Nothobranchius furzeri: one gene and its partner. The main gene of each other region encodes a partner of the protein of the gene in region 2 in a complex. Links are inferred from orthologs where the notes say so. Each region holds a gene or a part of one and is shown on either strand. Other genes may lie near its edges. The genes, in order: nus1 and dhdds.

Region 1 (8,734 bases), on a different chromosome or scaffold from region 2:
TGGTCTTCAACGGGAGGCTGATTCAAAGCAGGTGTGTGGAAGAACAGTGGAGCACACGGGGGCCGGTACTACAGGAAAATGTTCTGTTTGTTTACATTTAAGGGGCGGGGCTTAACAGCCGTACCTGAACCAGTGACTGGGGGTTGGTTTCAGCTCAACATAGACGTCTGACTAACAGACAAACGATGGCTGAACAGAGTGAGAGGAATACCATTTAAACCCATTGTGGGTCGCGGCGAAACTCGGTAACAAAAACCAAAACCGTGATCATTTTGATCATTACTGAAGTCTGAATTATTAAATGTGACTATCCAGAGTTCACATTTTAAAGTGGCTGCAGACACACACTCACACCAGCAGGAGGCAGGGTGGAGTTTTTCTGTTCCGATTCAAATTTACAGGAATATTTTAGACCCAAAAACTTCATAAATCACATTAGAATCATGACGGACTTCTAAAAATGTTTTGAAGAAGACACAAACATTTAGACGTTAGTTTAGACCACATGCAACCTTCTATGACAGCAGCAGAGAAGAGCTGCTACGGGAGCCCGGAGGTTCAAACAGGAAACCTGTGTGTGGAATTTTGTTGTCTCTGGAAACACTGATGCTTGGAAAATGTGCTGAAAAACATCAATGGATGCCACAGAGCCTGTGGGGCTCACACTGGAAGGTGGTGTGTTTTCTGACACACACGCTACAGCACCAGTGTTTTGCCTTCGTTCTGCCACCTTCACAGGACTCTTGAGTTCTTCAACAGGAAGGAAGTGCGTAATTCAGAGGGCATGACAAAATAAGAGCATGCTAACTGTTTAACTGATTCTACTGGTTCTGTGGTCATCTGAAACCAAACCCATGGGGACATGTTTTAATTTCACATATTTAACCAGCTGTTTGGACTCCACTGATGTGGCGGAAAGCCTGATGAGGGGTGCCCAATCCTGGTCCTGGAGGGCCGGTATCCAGCAGGTTTTAGTTTTAACCCTCCTTCAACACACCTGGATTCAATCAGCAGGTGATTAACAGGCTTCTGCAGAGCCTGATGAGCTGCTGCACAGGTGATTCAACCTCTGAATCAAGTGTGTTGGAGCAGAGAAACCACAAAACCTGCTGGATACCGGCCCAGGTCGGACCAAAGCGTGAGAAACAACCCAGCCACCGTGTTTGCTCGGGTTTTGTCTCGTTGCCTCTTTTTCACGTGTGGAGTTTGTCGGGGTTGGGCGGTGCCAGATCAATAATACAACCTGGTTTTATGATGACAGCACTGGATGTAGGCACATCTAACATCTGCAGTCCACACAGGCTCCACCTCCTCGTACAGGTGAGCTCCTGCCTCAGAGCAAAGGAGAACAGCACACAGATGTAGTTCAGCTTGGTGCCATCACTGCAGAAGTCACATATGCGGTGCAGGGCTCTCACCCGAACCCCGCCTCTGTAGAACGACCCGTGCCTGTTCAGAAACATCCACACTAGCACCAGCAGACCGACTGGTCATGTTGGGCTGCTGCTGGGAAACGCAGACGATGACCTGTGACCTTTGATGTGACTGGGTCACTGCCAGGTGTTTTATGCTAGTCCTGACTGATGAAGGTGGTCTAGGTGTGCATGAAGGCTGAAGAACATCAGGGCTGTCTCACCTGGGCTCTTCAGGTTGTATTTGTTCTCCATGCTGCTCGTTAACGAGGACGTGTTCTTCAACCAGCTGCTAACACGTCAGCTAACTAGCTTCTGGTTAGCAGCCCGGTGTGCTAGCTCTCTCTGGGGCTCAGATAAAAGCCTTCAGACTAGATGTCTCCTCTCTGCCGGATGATCACACACGCAGCGACCCCCGGAGAAGTCTGGATCCAGCTTATAGACCAAGAATGTCCGTTTCTCAGACGTTTTCACGCGTTTAAGTTTCGAAACCATTCGCTATCCACGTGACGTCATCTTTGGAACGTAAACAGGAAGAAGTGGTTTCTTCTTCTTGCTGGGGGTAAGGCCATTACCGCCACCAACTGGATGGAGGGTGATGCTCACCTTGCTCCGGGAGAGACCAGGAGACACACTTGGCTTCCCCGTTCTTCTTCAGAGACGCAGCCGTAGCTTTAGACGTGTGTTTGGATCGTTGTCGTGTTGGAAAAGTGCACGACGACCAAGTGCATCTTCTCCTTCAGTGTATCACATTGTTGAGTTTATAACTCGTGCAGCCCACATAAGGACACTGCCACCACCATGCTTTACTGTAGGCACCATGCATTTCTTTGAAATCCTCATCTTCACGACGCCATACGGTTTTGAAAGCATTAGTTCCAAAAACAGTGATCTTTGTCTCATCCCTCCAGACTCCCAGTAGTCTTCATCTGTTCCAGCGTGGGCCCTAGATAACCCCAGGTGTGCTGTTTGTGCATGGGCCTCAGGAGAAGCTTCCTTTGTGGACGATCCCCTTGCATGCCATTCCTCTGCACGTGTGCCGTATGATGTCACAGGAAACGGTCCAGTTGGGCTTTCTCCTGCTTTAGCTAACTGCGGTGAACTTACATGGTGACTTTCTTCAACTCCTCTCATCAGAAGACGTTCCTGTCCAGATGTGAACTTCTGTGGACGGCCTGGACGTCTCTGTAAGCTGGTTGCTCTTCCATCCTTCTTATATGTTTGGATCACCGTTGCTGCAGTATTGTGACTGACGTGAAGCTTTGCTGATCTTCTGCTGGCCCTCACCTTTTTGTGTAAAGAAATGATTTCCTGTCTCAGATGTTGACATTTCTCTTCCATGTGGAGCCGTTGCTGACAGCATGAAATGGGAGGGGCTAGTGAAGTAACGCCCTTTTATAGTCACCTGTCTGCTGGACACATCTTAGATGAACCATTAGACTCACCTGTGGTTGAACACCTGTTCATTTGAATTTGTAGTCTTGAGTCTTTCCTCCTAAGATTACATCTGGGGTGTACTCATGTATGCAACATGGACTTGAATGGATCTGTTAGGAAAATCACTTTAGTGTGAAAATGAACAAATGTTGTTTGTAATCGATGGCCCACACCTGTGGGAGGGTTCTGTAGTATGGTACCTCAGAGAAGATGCTGGTTCTGGAAGCAAACTAAAGCTTCTCTGACTGATGTAGAGGGGTGTTGGTTTTATGTTTATGTTTATTTAACAGACGCTTTTATCCAAAGCGACTTACAGTTTATAACCTATAGGGCATGTTGTGATCTGTGGGGGAAACCGGAGTACCCGGAGGAAACCCACGCATGCATGGGGAGAACACGCAACTCCACGCAGAAAGGCGAGTTTTTTGAACCTGCGACCTTCGTGCTGCGAGGCAACAGTGCTAACCACTGCGCCACCATGCAGGTTTTATTAAAGCTTTATAGTTTTAAATCTCAGGTAACTTCATAACATCCTAGCAGACTCTGATTTTGGTTTTTAGTTTTTGAACTCAAACACACGAGAGCCTTTTGTGTATTAGAAGTACAAAGATGCACGGATTCTTTAAAACAAACAAATGTTCCTTTGATTAAAATAGTTTAATGTGCCTAGTTCACAAGGTCATTTTTGCCATTTTTATCAAACATAAAGGTAATTTAGTGGCTAACCCTAACCCACCATCAGCTTAGAGATTTAGGCTCAAATCTACTAAAGTCTGGACAACACTGGATGAATTAAAGCACTCACAACCTCAGTAACACACACACACACACACACACACTTTATAGCTTTGAATTATTCAGGTTTTCTGGGAATACTTGAAAGAGCGGTGCAGCTGCAGCTTCTGTTGTGATCATCGACCTTCGCTCTTTAACATTAAGAGAACCCGGCTGGTCTTATTTACTTGACTCTTGTTTACTCTGTGGTAATGTCACTGGATGATCAGCACTTTATTTCACACCTTGAGTTGAACAGAGGAGAACAACCGTCTGACAACACCTGAATGCGTGTGCTCAGAAAAATTCTGTCCCTGAGACAGACGTAATCCTCTGGAGCTGCTGCCGGTGGATGATGAGAGACAGGAGGGCCTCGTGTCAGAGTGAGCCGGTCTATGGTTTGTGTCCAGAAATCCTTGGAATGAATTTATTCTAAGAGCAGGCCCAGATCTCCAAGTTATCCTGGAGGCAGCGCTGAAACGGATCAGAAGCGCGATGAGGGGAGTCCGAACCTCCATCACTGTCCCAGCCTCTGCTGACAGGAGCTGTACCGCTGCAGGACGCCCAAAAGGTCCTCATAGGAGACGTTTCTGTGGGATGGCAGGGAGCTAGAGACAAGCAGGGAACAAACTTTAAACTGGAACCATCGCAGCTCAACGCTGCCACCTGCAGGCAAACAGTTTTATTATCCTAAACAAGCAACACTCCGACTGAAGTTAGCTGGTTTAAACCTTCAGATGTGATCTGACAGCAGCTTCCTGCTACACCAGGCCCCCACAATGCAACTCTGAAATTGAGTCAAACCCGGAAGTGAAATAAATTGCAGTTCCACCCTCATCCACTAGGGGCTGGTGTCAGAAGCGAGCAAATCCTCATTGACTCCCATGTTAAAAATACCAATTTCACAGCAGAAATAAACATGTTTACAGCCTGGTACCAGAACATGTTTTTGGTTTAAATGATCTAGTTTACACTCATGACAACTCTGAGGGGGGTGAATGTTTTTCTCACTCTTCTGTTTAAGTGTATTAAAAGCCTAAAATTCTGTATAATTAATGAGCATCAGACCCACGTGACCACAGAGCTAGCTCCGTGGAAAGGCCTCAGTAGAGCCTCGGTCTGGCCTGGAAACTGTTCCGCCATTTTGAGTCTCTGTGTGTGTGTATTCTTTTTTGGATATTATTTGTGCAATTGTTGGACAAAATGACTTGCTGTGGCATTAATTGCACTAATAGAGCGTCCAAGGAGTCTCCACTTGATTTTTTTCGGTAAGTAAAATTATATTTATGTATTTTAGGTCACTGCCGAGCTGAGCTTAGATTTTAACATGTACTGTTTAACCATGAAATTTAAATATGATAGGGTAAAACCCAGTGCATTTAACATAATGCTGCACTTTAGAAAATGGGTTGAAATAGAACATGTTGGTGGAGCTGGGTTCCCACTATCGGCTTGTGGAGCTCTCCGAGACCTCTGTGTTCCACCCGGTTTTACCCAGCGGTCAGCCCGGCGTATCTCTGACTCAGAAGCTCTGGTGTTGTGCACAGTTAACTCCGGTTGTAGCTAGGTTGCTACCTCCGTTAGCTTAGCTCCCACCTCTGCGTTAGCTTTGGGTTAGCTTCAGGTTAGCTTGTAGCTAGTTCGACCGGGTGTCGTCGGTTGATCCCAGCCTTACAGCCCCACCCTCAGCTCCTCCTCTCTTCCTTTTATGGAATTGTCTGGGCTTGACGGAACCTGTGACACGGTCAAAATGGCGGTGGTGGCCACCTCCCATTTTAGTACAAAAACTTGTTACTGGAGCCTATGGAAACCCATTGTCCGTATATTTATGTCGATGTGCTACACCTGAAGGTTCACCTGGATCACACATGTTAGCACAGCTGCTTCACCATCATGACAACCCAAAAGGAGACTTCCCCGTGAAGATGAGGAGCAGAAAGGTTCTGTGTTTATGTTTCATGTACAGTAAGAAGCTGCTCATGTCTAAATGTCTGGATAGACAGACGTAATCCTGAAGTTATGAAGCAATAAAGGCAACAAGGAGACGGAGAGTCAGACGGGAGCTCACATGAATTCAGTGAGTCTGATGTGCCAGGGGAGGAACCCCAACGTGCTGTTGACTGGGCCAAACTTCACCACCAGCTCAGGGTCCGGAATGTTCTTCGACTCTGGAAAAAACAAAACACACATGTCAGCGAAACGTATGTCTTAAGCCAACAGAAACATGGCGTGTTTAAGCTCTTAATAACCTAGAAGTTCATCCCAGTAATAACAGGATTAACAACGCTGGGGCCGGGCGATACGGCCTAAAACCAATACCACCACATAGAGGAGTTCACCTCGATAGTGTAACGTGAGGAAATATGGGTTTTCTGTGCAAAAGGTCATTTGACTCGGCTGGGTCGCTGAGAACTTTCACCCACAGATTGTGACCTTTGCAGACATGAAGTCTGCTGGAAACCATAACATCTGAACACCTGCAGTACCAGAAGAAGGAGTTCTCATGGAAAAGTAGTCATGACATAACAAGTCTTAAAACTTTGTTTCTTGATTTTAATGTTAAAATAATCATTATCATTTTGCTCATTATAAATGTGTTTAATCAAATGAATGATTCTTATGCTTTGGGTAATTATAATGGATTAATGAATCCATACTTAGACAATGTTTGAGGATGTTTGTTACCGACCTTCACACACACACTCACACACACCCACACACAGATTCTCACAGTAAACTCCAAAACACATTTGCTGACGCACACGTTTGCTTTGAGAAGAGAAAGGCTTTTGGTAAGTTTCAGTCTTATGATTTCAGTTCGTGCTTGACAACGAAAGAAAGAGGACCTGAATAAACGCTAAAGGGGGGACAGAGCCGGTCGGCTAGTTCCCCCCCCCCCCCCCCACGCTGTTCCTGCCAAGCCAGGCAGAATAGCTGAATCGCAACTTCTAACGCAGACTCTTTACCGAGTCTTTTGATTTCTGAGTGAACTAAACTTAACAAACGCATCGACAAAACGCTTTTGCATCGACGTGTACCGAGGGCATCTCTGGACCGGGCCGCGGACACCTCCGTCTCCTCTGCCAGCCGCTGGTGTCACCTGGATGAACATCCTCTGGCGTCCCGGATCCAACAGGGAGTCCGATTTTCGGTGAGGCAGAACACAACAGATAGCGTTTTGATGCATCTTTTCCAACTAAACCTAAGTTTATTCAAACCATCACTTTTCACCCAGACACCTGTTTCTTCCTGAAGCAAAATCAGATGCACACACGCATCCATCTCACCTCATGTTCAATTCTCACTACACTTTGCACACACACGCATCCATAATCACATCATATCACTCTCAACCTTCAGCACCTCCAACAGAAGGTCTATTTGAGCAAGAACAGCATATCAACTGTTAAAGATTGTCCCACAAAGTTGCCAATGTTGATTGTTATTTCCTGTTTGTCAATTTCAAAATCATTAGTTTAATTTGAAGAATTAAAACTTTGAATTGTCGAACTTGTTTTCTTTATTGAATTGAAACACAGACACACAGATATTATCGACAGTTTATCGATGAAAACAACCTTTGAGTCTTCTTAAAACTATACAATTTGGTTATTAATTTAATAAAATTAATATCACAAATTAACATGTAGAATGGTTCCTCTTTCATAAAAGAGCATAAACAACAACGCTAAAGTTTGACCAGCCAGCCAGTTCTACAATAGCGATAAGTGGACGATAACTACAGCTATGCACAGAGACAACAGTTGTCCACTAGATGGGGCTGTCACTCGTACTGGTGGTACAGCTTCTTAAAGGGACATGAATGTTGCCAACCTATCTAATTTATTGATACGGGAGAAATTATCTCGATAAGCGTCAGAAATTTCAATAACGATGAATTTTGGACTTACTGCCCAGCCCTAAACCAAAGTTTAACCCAGTAGGTGTGCTTCCATTAACAGAACTTTAGGCTAAATTTACAGGAAGTTCCGGCGTGAGCCCGTCTCCCCTGGACCAGGCCGGCCAAACGGCCATTTTCAGGGACTTTCTCAGTACCTGATCAGGGTGGGCACTTGGAGCAAAAAGTTATTATCAGGAGAAGGAGAATGTTTAAGTGGTTAGCAGCAGTGTGCTAGCCGATGGCCCCCTCCATGAGACCACCACAGCTCAGCAGAACATCGTTGTAGCTTCTTCTGGGGAGAAAAACACTTTTTGCTTTCTTTGACGTTGGATGTGCTACTACTAGTTTATCCGTTTAATTATAGATCCACTAGGATAAATACAATAAAGTTTATCTCTCACCTAATAGAATATTTACTAAGAAATCACAATATAACCATAGAAACACTACGTGCGCGTGCGTGCATGTGTGTGTGTGTGTGTGTGCGTGCGTGTGTGTGTGCGCGTGCGTGTGTGTCTGCTCTGTCTTCTCCATCCCCAGTGAGTCGTGGAGGATGGCTGCTTATACTGAGCCAGGATTCTCTGGAGGTTTCTTCCTGTTAAAAAGGAGTTTTCCTCTCCACTGTCGCTGCATGCTTGCTTAGTATGAGGATTGCTGGGTTCCTTATATAGGAAACATTATTTCTGATTGGCTTAATGAACTGTGAATTGGAATGTTTATTATGTGAAGGTCCTTGAGACGACTCTTGTCGTGATTTGGCGCTTTATAAATAAACTTGAATTGAATGTTCAGCACCTTGGGCTTCCCGACAGGGTTGCAGAGGGCGCTTTATAAATAAAGCTTTGATTGATTAAAACTGCTGTTACTAAACTCCCAACACGGGAAAAAGGGAGGAATTCCCCCATGATGACGTCATTCACGGGGCTTTGTGGTCTCACAGAGCGCTGTAAAAAACAGATTTTTATGGTCATTGAACGCCACATTGGACATCACACAGCTGCTCTCTTCCTCTGAATGGATGCAGTTACATTAAACTTGTAATGCTTTGTGGCGCTGATCAGTGACATGGCTCACTGCCAAAGCAGTTCAGATACGCTGACGTCCTGGAAGGACTGAATGGAGACACAACAGCAGGGAGAACCGGAACATTTTATGTCCCAGTCAATTTCTCTGTCCCAGAATCGATCCTGAAGTTCCGGCAATGGAAACA
Region 2 (9,485 bases):
CGTGGCTGTTATGAAGTAGAATCAGCAGGTGTCTATGGAGGTTTAGGCTTTCAAAAAATAAACCTGGCTTACATGTAACAGACACTGTGTGAGTGAGGTGATCTTTGACATGGACACACGGTAAAGTCCAAGAAGGTGTACACATGAACCTGCAATCCAACTGAAGAGGGAGTTTCAGTGCACACGATCATTTTAATAATAAAAATAACACTAAATGTTTGTTTGAAAGAGTGTCTGATACAAAAAATGAAAGGGGGGGGGGGGGTCCTAGACAGGGTGCTAGATGTGGATGTGAGCCTAGCTGTGACTCCTGCCTGAGAGGGGCCCACTGCCTTAACCTTGGGGTCCCCAGAGAGCAGCCCTCCTCCATCACAACAAAGACCCCAGCTGCCCCGCTCCTCCGTCTCACACACAGAAACACACGGCTGTACGACAGAGGGAGTGCCCTTGCTACGATGAACGCACTCATACACACAAACGCCAGAGCCCCCCCTCCCTCTACATTCCCAGCCTCACCATGGAGACACCACGGCAACACAGTATTGTCATGGATATAAGGGGATCTGTGCGAGTGTGTGTGAAGCGGTGTGAAGGTGCATGGCCGCTGTAGATGGGAGGAGGCAGGGTGCCACTGTGGTCATGCTGGAGAGACCTTGGCCTGTGTGGCCCCGCACTGAGCGCGATCACAAACCAGAAGGAAGAGCCACTTAAGAGAGTCCTAAACTGGTAAAGTTTTGTTTCAAACAGTTGGTGATGTAATCTCACACCACTCAACTCAACATCTGTTAAACCTCCAGGAAGAGTAACGGTCAGAAACCTAATAAAAAAAGATGCTCTGCTGCGTGTTTTAGTCTGTATGTAGAATCACACATCTGATAAAGTCCATAAACACAGATACAAGACATGTGGCGACTGTACACTAGAGGATGCATGAGTGCGAACACGCCAGTGTGTTGTGATTGTTGCACACTCGCGCACAAAGACGCACGCTTCTCCCTCGTGCCAGTGAAGGCAGATGGTGAGAAGTGGAGCCAGCGCTCTCACATATCCCAACACAATGGAGTTCTCTCCCAGGCGGTAAGAATTAAAACTGGAGCATCACAACTTGAAATCTCTCACTACTACATGTCTTTAAACCCAATTCCAAGAAAAACTGCTTAAAAACGGGTTTAGATTGAGTTTAGTTTCATTTGTTTTCAGACAGCTGGTAAAGATTTCCACTTAAATATTTTATTTTCAGTTTATTCTACAATCTAAAACATACAGATGTTTCTTAATCTGACCTCATAATGGAATGAGGTGAAAGTAAAGGGTGGTTTGTCCAACTTAAGGTGTTTTAAAGTGCAAAAATAAATAATTGGATAAATATTGGTCGTTGGGGTACTGGAAAAACAATTCGCTTGTTTTATAAAGTAAACTAATAAGAAAAACTAATGGTCCACCACTTCTTTGACCAGATTATTTGCGTCTTGGCAGTTGACCCTGAAGCAAACATGTTGGATCGATTTTTAAAAACGCATTGAATAGTAGCACTTTAAACACAAAAGCAGTTTAAAACGAGGGGGCCCCCATGGGCCCTTCCCCCTTCCCAAAGAAAATCCCCTGAAAATAGACCCATCACCTAACTTTAATGTTCAATATCAAGTCTATCATTAAGGTGATCATAAATCTGCTTTGAGGTTATGAACAGACAGTTAAATTAAGCAATTAGTTTATTTTATAAAGAAAGTGCTCAGATCACACTTTACATAGATTAGGATTAAGACTGTTTATATTTACCCCTAAAAGGTGAACTTCAGACCTGACACACACACACGCGCACACACACAGTTTTGAACTGATTTGCTCGATTCCACGACTCTTATGTCAATAAGAAAAATCTAAATATAGATCTTTAGCTGCCATCAAATGCATCCATGCAGGATAAAAAACAAAACTTAAAGTGGGAGGCTTCTGCTCCTTTTCGTCTAAAACTCAAATCTAACCCAGATATAACACTTTATTGACCTTGGATGTGCAATTTTACACGATCAGCCTGGGGCTGTCTTTAATGCTGCATGTGACGTGTTGATGTTACAAGCTGGTCCTACTGGCTGAGGATCCAGCAGTGAGAGGGAGGCTGTGTGGGGCATGCGGGGAGCAGCCAGCTGCTGCTGCGGCTTGAAGGCGGGCTTCACCTCGTCCCTCCTCACAGAGATTCCCACGACCTCACTGCCCCCGCACATGGCCGAGGATATTGTCAGCACCCTAATAAGCCTCGTCTGTGGTTATGAACCAGGAAAATAATTGTTTTATATAAACTGTTAGGCATGTAGATAGCTAGAGCCCCTTTTCATCGAACGGTGCAACGGAAGAGGCTGACTACAAGGCTTCCTCCACTTCCCCCTGACGCTCCGATTTTCCGACTGAAATGTGAAGCTGCAATCGGGTGTTTGCAGTGATCACTTGAAATTACTATAAAAAATAAATAAATACACCTACCAGCGCCAGACGGTCCCGGCTCCATCCCATTCACTTAGCCGCGCTGTACAAGCTAGCTACTCCGGGGTGCTGTGGCCAAACCGCCGGCCCCTTCAGGCTGGAGGCGTCTCAGACTTCCAGCCCCCTCCTCTCGGCCTGTAGTCTTCACCCTCCTCGGTGTACCCCCGCCCCCTGCCCCTTACCAGATCCCCCCCAGACCCGGAGAGGACTTGAGGCTAACGGCTGATTTGCCCGTTGACCCCGGAGCTGCTAACGGTGGAGCTGGAGGGAGATAGCGTCTTAATTCCAGCCGCTTTTCTCCAACCGCGCAGCGTGGCTTCCTCCGTGATTTGGCCGATTGTCCGCGGTGCTGTGATTTGTCGTCCGTGTGATGCTCCTGCCCACGGTTCAAGCAGGATTCTCCAGCGGAACAAAAAAGGCCAGCCCCTCACCCCCCAAAAATCTAAAACTTCTTCACCGCCATTTAAAAAAGTGCAAACGAACTGTTGATGAAGTTACTGTCACACCCTAGCGGCGGAGAGCGGAACTACACTGCAGCTATTCGAAAAAGTAAAAGGCTCAAAGTTTAGTGGAAACGTGAACTAATTTAGTTTGTTGGTGTAATGCTGGCATTATCTTAACAGCACCATTTATTTAAAAAATCATAATAAATAAATACTAAAAGTAGTCTAATATATACTAAATATTTGTACTGTTTGCTTTTTTAGAGAAAAATAAAACAAAAACAATACTTCAAGGAACTACATTTCAAAAACATTTTTAAAAAATCAAGGTGCAAAAGTTATGTAACAAGCTTGTATATTTTGATTAAACTTCAGTACGGTCCCTTTATACATACCTGATACATGATCATGTCTGGGAATATTCCTAAAAAGGCAACAGATTGTGTGAAGTATTTCTTTCCAGATCTGGACTTTGCTGGAACTTTGACTCTGAGTCTGAGATGCAACCTGGCAGCAATGGATGATATCCTAGAGGCCACAGGTGTCTAGGCCAGGTGTGCATGGGGGTCAGTTAACAGGAAAAAGTGCAAATGTTTACCACGTTGCACGGCATGACAGGAATTGTCATGCACCATGAAGAGCATAAACCCCACTGACTGCACCAGTGTAGAATCTGGCAATGGGTCCCAGCAAAATGAATGAGCAGCAAGAATGCTACATTAGCAGGACAGTATTTAATTGACTGCTAATCTAACTGACCTAAGATTATACATAGAGTAAAGAAAGTAGTATAGGGAATAATTTCTGATCTACATTAATTCTTACCTAAAACTACTCCTACAGATTAGAATGATTGTAAAACTAAAACTACTAAACTAGCAAGGCTGCATTCATTTTTGAAAAAGTTCAGGACACCAGTGGTGCCAATGCAAATTTTAGCCAATTCTGGTGACCTTTAATAAATGCAAATGAAGCTCTACTGTGCCTGTAAGTGAAAACAGGACATTTTGGAGGGTCTATGACTCTCAAACTATCATTCAGTCCATTTCTGATTTAGTTTAAGACCCAACGTTATACTTGTTATGCTTCTTATCTTCATTCTTTGATTTTATCTTGTACAAATTCCGCGTCCATCCCCATGTTTTATAAATCTAATAACGGCTGACAGGAAGTCGTCATCGTGCGCATGCGTTGTTTCGCTCCAGTCAGGAAGTGGTCGTCATCGAAAGAGCTGTGAGTTGGAAGGTGTAAAGAAATGTGAGGAAAATCGTCGTAGCCGTGGCAGAACGACTCGTTCTTCGTGGGTTTGAATGAAAGACGCAGTTTTCCACCGACGGTGAGTGTTTTCTAGATAAATATAGTACAGACTTGTGCTGGTTTTCAGCCTCACAGCAGGTCAGTTGGAGCCAGTTCTCTGGTTGAAATCAATCACTGGCTGCACGATGAAATTTAATACAGCACACGATATGGAAATAATCGGCAATAACCAGTTCTGCAGCTCAAGGTGAATCATATACGGTTCACTTCTTAAAACTGTGTTTAATTTACAGGATTTCAGAGCGTTTGAAACCGGAAAATGTCGTGGATAAAAGAAGGTGAATTAAATCTGATTGAAAGGATTTCTGCCAACATCCTAAAGGTAAGAATAAGCTTCTGTTCATTTTAAAACGACTCTTATTGTGTGTCTGTTGTTAGCATTTCAATCAGCTTCAAACTCTACTCATCACCACCCTGTTCTGCGGGTATTACTGTGTATAATCCTCAGAAGGAGCACCGAGATCCGGAAAGTACTTGTAAGGTAGTATTTTATTATGTGTGGGAAAATAAATCAGGAGTAACAAAAACGAGTTGTAATAACTTCTCGTTTGGCATAATGGATCTTACTGGCATTGTTGGGGTACGTTTTAAGCGTATTAATTAAAATTGAAGATTTTCTTTATAGTTTATTATTCTCTGAAGTATTACTGCTGTGCAGTTGACTTAAATCCTAAAGCATGTGACCTCTTAAACCATTCTTGGCATGAAATCAATGTAGAGTGGGAACATGATGTGGCTTTGCACAAATAATGATGCCTTTCTATTGATCTGGAGAAAACTGATAAGATAATGTTATAATTTTATAAAATAACACCTAGTTTTAGCCTTTTTAAACATAACACTCCTCTCTGAAGCATTCATTTGCATATCTTATTATAGTTATACATGCATATTATTGGCTTGGCTGTTGCACACACTTGTGGCATAATTCTTGTGCATTTACTTATTGCAGATTGTTCATGTTGTAACATAATATTTTGCAATTACAGTCCCAAAGGTCTATTTGAACAGTCTGAAATGGTCAAAACTATGCCAGATTACTTGCAGCCACTTGGGGGGACTTAGGAAAAGTATTTCCTGTCTTGCTTCACACAAACCATCAGTTGTTGGAACGTAAAAACATTTAGAACATTTTATTTTAAATGAATCTAAACAAGCATAGAAAAAAAACATAACAAAACAGGGTTTGCAAGCAAAAACAAAACAGTTTTTTTAATTTATCTTTGAATTCGCTCAATCTTGTGTTGCATTTTTCCCATTTCTCCCCAAATGAGTCCTCCTTTATCTAATCTTGTAGATTAATTTCTCCATTTCTTTTATTTCCTGTATTATTTCTCCCATTGCATCTGTGTACAAGCATCTACCTTTGCAAATCTGCAAAACAAGCTTAAAACATTTGTTGTCATTTGTTGGATTACTTGTGTATTAATTGTCCTGGGTCACTTTGCTCCAGGGTTCAATCTGACCTTTAATAAACTAATTAAAAATAGCTGGAATTGCCTTGATCTCATTCTGCAGTCACTTATATGAATATCAGGCACATACACTACATATTTCTCTATTCATATACCGTCAGTAGAGGTGCTGAAAAAAATTGATTCAAGTCTGAATCAGGATTCTTATTTATAAAGATTCAGAATCGAGAATCGATTCTAAGAACTCAAATATTTGGCATGTTACAGGTTTGAGATGCACTTTTTTGATCTTTGTTAGGAGAGTCAGTACTCTGTTTACTTTTGTGGTTCCATAAATTGAGATGATTTATGTTTGAATCTGCTGATAAGAGGGCGCTTGAATGTAATTTTTTCCATACTCAGAAATTTGAGATATTCTCATATTTATTTTCTAAGTTGATAAATGAGTACTCAGGATTACTCATGTGACTTGTTTCTACACATACTTAAGTATTTGACTGTATTACTTTCAAAGCTACCGTTAGGTAACTACAGATTTGTTATACTTTACAAGGTAAGCAAAAATAATTGTTGCCTTTTGGTCAAAAGATTGCTTCTGTTTACAGTTTTAGAATCACTTTATTTTACATTGTAAATTTGCATTTTTGGAGCAAGACCAGTTTAAAGTCAAATAAAAAATGCCCCATAGCTTTAACTAACTTGTACAACAAAGTAGTTCATCCTGGAGCTGACACTCTTTGTTAATACTGATTGTGAATCGATTTAAATTGAGAATCGAGAATAGATTCTGAATCGAATCGGCACCCCCAAGAATGAGAATCGGAATCAAATCGTGAGTTGCTCTAAGATTCACATCCCTAACCGTCAGCATGACAGTCGTGCTGGACACAAAGTCATTTGGTTACTAATCCAATCAGGGATTGCCTAGATGACGGAGGCTGAATTGCCCCCACAGGGGTATATTAGATAATGCCAACAATGTGGAGGGACTCTTTTGGAAACTTCCAAAGAGCCATGAATTCCTTTATTTGTGCTATTTTCTCAGCTTTTTTTTTTAAATAAAAACCAGGATAAAATTGAATCAACCTCGTTTTTGTTGAAGCATTTCTGTGTTAAAGTTAAAGCGAGTAGCCAAAGTTCAAATAGCTCAAAACCTTTGAGTGTCTCTCCAGTGTTGAAAGAAGAACCACACTCATGTATTTAGCAACAGAACACCACTGGTGTGATGGGTTCTCTGCTCAACAATACCAGAGAAGGAGAAATGGCCAGCTGCTACCACTTTAGGACAAGCTATCAGAGTCCTAAAAAGAAATACACCATTTGAAGTCACAGACAACGAAAGACATTTGGATGTAGAAAATGGTGACTGGTGTTCAGCTCTCTCTCTCGTTTACTGTGACGATGTGTGTTCCAGTATCATGCAGACGTGGCCTAGGGTTGATGGGTGGCGGAGGGGTAAGAGTTCCGTGTTTGTGTTTAAAATCTAGCTTGTTTTGCAGCTTCAAGCCATTTTTTGTGATAGTTTTCATCCCGGCAGTAAGCAGGATTTTAATCTGTATATATAATATATATAATCTATTGGTCCCTTCTGTGTACCGTTCCATGCATGTATCGTAGGTACAAGTCTTTACATGTTGATGCTGGTACCTACTATCTGGTGTAATGTTTTTACTATTCTAAAAGACATGAGTGTGATCTGGGTTTGTGTGGCCACAGCTGATCTATCTTTATAAAGATTCAAATTTGGTTCTTTTCCATTCTTGTGAATGTCTTGTATTAAGGTCTTTGAACAAGGGTTCCCACGTGTCTCTGGAAGTTCTTCATCCAGCTCTGTTTCCCATTTGACCTCAGGACTGTAAGATACGGTGACATGTTGTATCTGGTGTAGCAGATTATTCAGACACACCGGTGCGGTAATATTACGCCGATTTGCCGGCACTGTGTGTCTTGCAAAGACGACTAGAAAGAGGAAGCGTCATATGAGACACTGATGCCAGGCCGGACCGCCCTTTCCACAGACACAGGTGTCCAACTTTTAACAAAAGCTGGTACCTTTTCATTTTTTGTCTCTTAAAAAAAAGTGTTCCCTCATTATGTCAAGGCAGACATGCTTAGGTTTTCTTTGCACTTTTATGGTTGTGAAAGTTATTGTTTACCTGTTTAGCTCTACTCTAATCTCTTTTGATGCCATCTCTCCCAGACAGGACCCATGCCTAAACATGTGGCCTTCATCATGGACGGTAATCGACGTTTTGCACGCAAGAAAAACCTGGAACGCCAAGAAGGCCATATGCAAGGATTCAACAAGCTCGCAGAGGTCAATTTTCATTAGTCTCACTACGCAAATGTCCTCGCATATCAATTCCATCATGTTTAACCCTCCTCCTTACACCAGACGTTACGTTGGTGCAAGCACCTCAACATCCCAGAGGTGACGGTGTATGCCTTCAGCATCGAGAACTTCAAGCGCACTAAGGAAGAGGTGGATGGGCTGATGGAGCTGGCCAAGCAGAAGTTTGAGAGGCTGTTGGAGGAACGGTGAGTTTGACTCAACTTTTCCACTTTACTGTTTGTTGCACAACAGCCATTTTATTCATCCCGTGATTCACGGCTTCCTTGAAGCTAACTTTAAGCCCGGCTGTGTGGTTAGAGTAAACACGTGTCTCTTTATAACCCAGAATGCTGTTTCAGTTTGAGCACCCTTCAGAAAAGTGCGAAGTAGGGATTTTTCATTTGGATCAGCTGCTTGTCGGTGACAGAGGATTTTTCCCTTACTTCTGCTTTTTATTACTAAACTGATGCTGATTGGATGTTAATGTTGTTGAACTTAAAAGTATCTTAAAGCAGCATTCATGAGTTTGCCCCCTTCAGAAATTACTGTGTTATATATATATATATATATATATATATATATATATATATATATATATATATATATATATATATATATATATATATATATTATAATTTTTTTTTTACATTGTTCTTTGATATAATGTAGAACAGAATAGAATTCAACTTTATTGTCATTGCACATGTACAGGTACAGGGCAACGAAATGCAGTTTGCATCCATCCAGAAGTGCTTTAGCCGTGATATAGATGTATTACAATTAGGGCTGGGGGTAAACGATTATTTTTAAAACGATTATTCTGACGATTATTTTATCGAATAGTCGACTATTCTAATGACTATTTAGAAAATTAATCTAATGATTATTTTTCTATTGCACAATTAACAAAAACCAGAAAATCTCAAATAAATTCCTCAAAAAAAATTGATAAATTCTTACTGTAAGAGAATAAACACTACAGGCCTTCCATTTTGTATAACACTGCTTTTATTGTGTTGGTTGGTTATGTTCTGGTGACGTGTAGAACTTGGGAGTGCAGGCTGCTGCCTGAGAGGTGGTAGAAGATGGAGTGTCTCCATGCTGCTTTGTTTTGGTCACTTATGTGCGTGAGGCGAGTGGTCTTACGGGTTAAACCAAACTCAGGTGATATTTTACAGTAAACCGAAAACCCACAACACTCTAAATGTAATAAAAGGGAGATCTACACCACAAAAAAGATGAACTCTAAACCAAAACGTAACAGCTTATCCCAACGCAAGAAGCTGTTAGCGAATATGCTAACAGTAGCTTTACCAACATTAAGTTCAAGTTACCAAGTTTAAATAAACCGAAAACACCCAGCAGCAAACAGACCAGCACGGAGGAGAGACTGCTACTACCAAAACAGCTCTCCTAATGTCTGAAAGAAGCTCCTTTATGAAGGGAGAAGCGCTCCCGGTGATTTTCTACATCTGCGATAGACACGAAGCAGCGCAT

The links.
Region 1: the proteins of dhdds (region 2) and nus1 are in contact, whole or in part, in a crystal structure (PDB 7PAX), measured with the Homo sapiens proteins. The link is inferred for Nothobranchius furzeri from reciprocal best matches to the Homo sapiens genes DHDDS and NUS1. Residues at the interface, in NP_995583.1 of Homo sapiens: Arg37, Arg38, Glu81, Asn82, Lys84, Arg85, Arg159, His160, Ile162, Ser163, Val166, Arg167, Met169, Ala170, Trp171, Val173, Glu174, Pro180, Ser181, Ile183, Ser184, Glu185, Leu188, His199, Glu209, Val210, Arg211, Leu212, Ser213, Asp214; in NP_612468.1 of Homo sapiens: His137, Gln138, Pro193, Glu194, Lys197, Ala198, Ile200, Val201, Ala204, Gln205, Phe207, Cys208, Gln209, Val211, Ala212, Arg217, Pro218, Thr219, Leu221, Asp222, Val223, Leu226, Asp237, Pro246, Val247, Asp248, Ser249, Thr250, Leu251, Gly252.

Annotation. Positions count from the first base shown.
Region 1 is NC_091743.1:91,670,241-91,678,974, forward strand, and holds the end of nus1 (dehydrodolichyl diphosphate synthase complex subunit nus1), read right to left. Parts: intron 5,792-8,734; coding exon 5,692-5,791; intron 4,232-5,691; coding exon 4,141-4,231; 3' UTR 3,488-4,140; downstream 1-3,487. UniProt on the Homo sapiens protein: With DHDDS, forms the dehydrodolichyl diphosphate synthase (DDS) complex, an essential component of the dolichol monophosphate (Dol-P) biosynthetic machinery.
Region 2 is NC_091745.1:69,203,619-69,213,103, forward strand, and holds the start of dhdds (dehydrodolichyl diphosphate synthase complex subunit DHDDS), read left to right. Parts: upstream 1-4,122; 5' UTR 4,123-4,260; intron 4,261-4,474; 5' UTR 4,475-4,500; coding exon 4,501-4,563; intron 4,564-7,856; coding exon 7,857-7,973; intron 7,974-8,051; coding exon 8,052-8,194; intron 8,195-9,485. Other genes in the region: ago1 (protein argonaute-1), read right to left, coding at 2,482-2,506. UniProt on the Homo sapiens protein: With NUS1, forms the dehydrodolichyl diphosphate synthase (DDS) complex, an essential component of the dolichol monophosphate (Dol-P) biosynthetic machinery.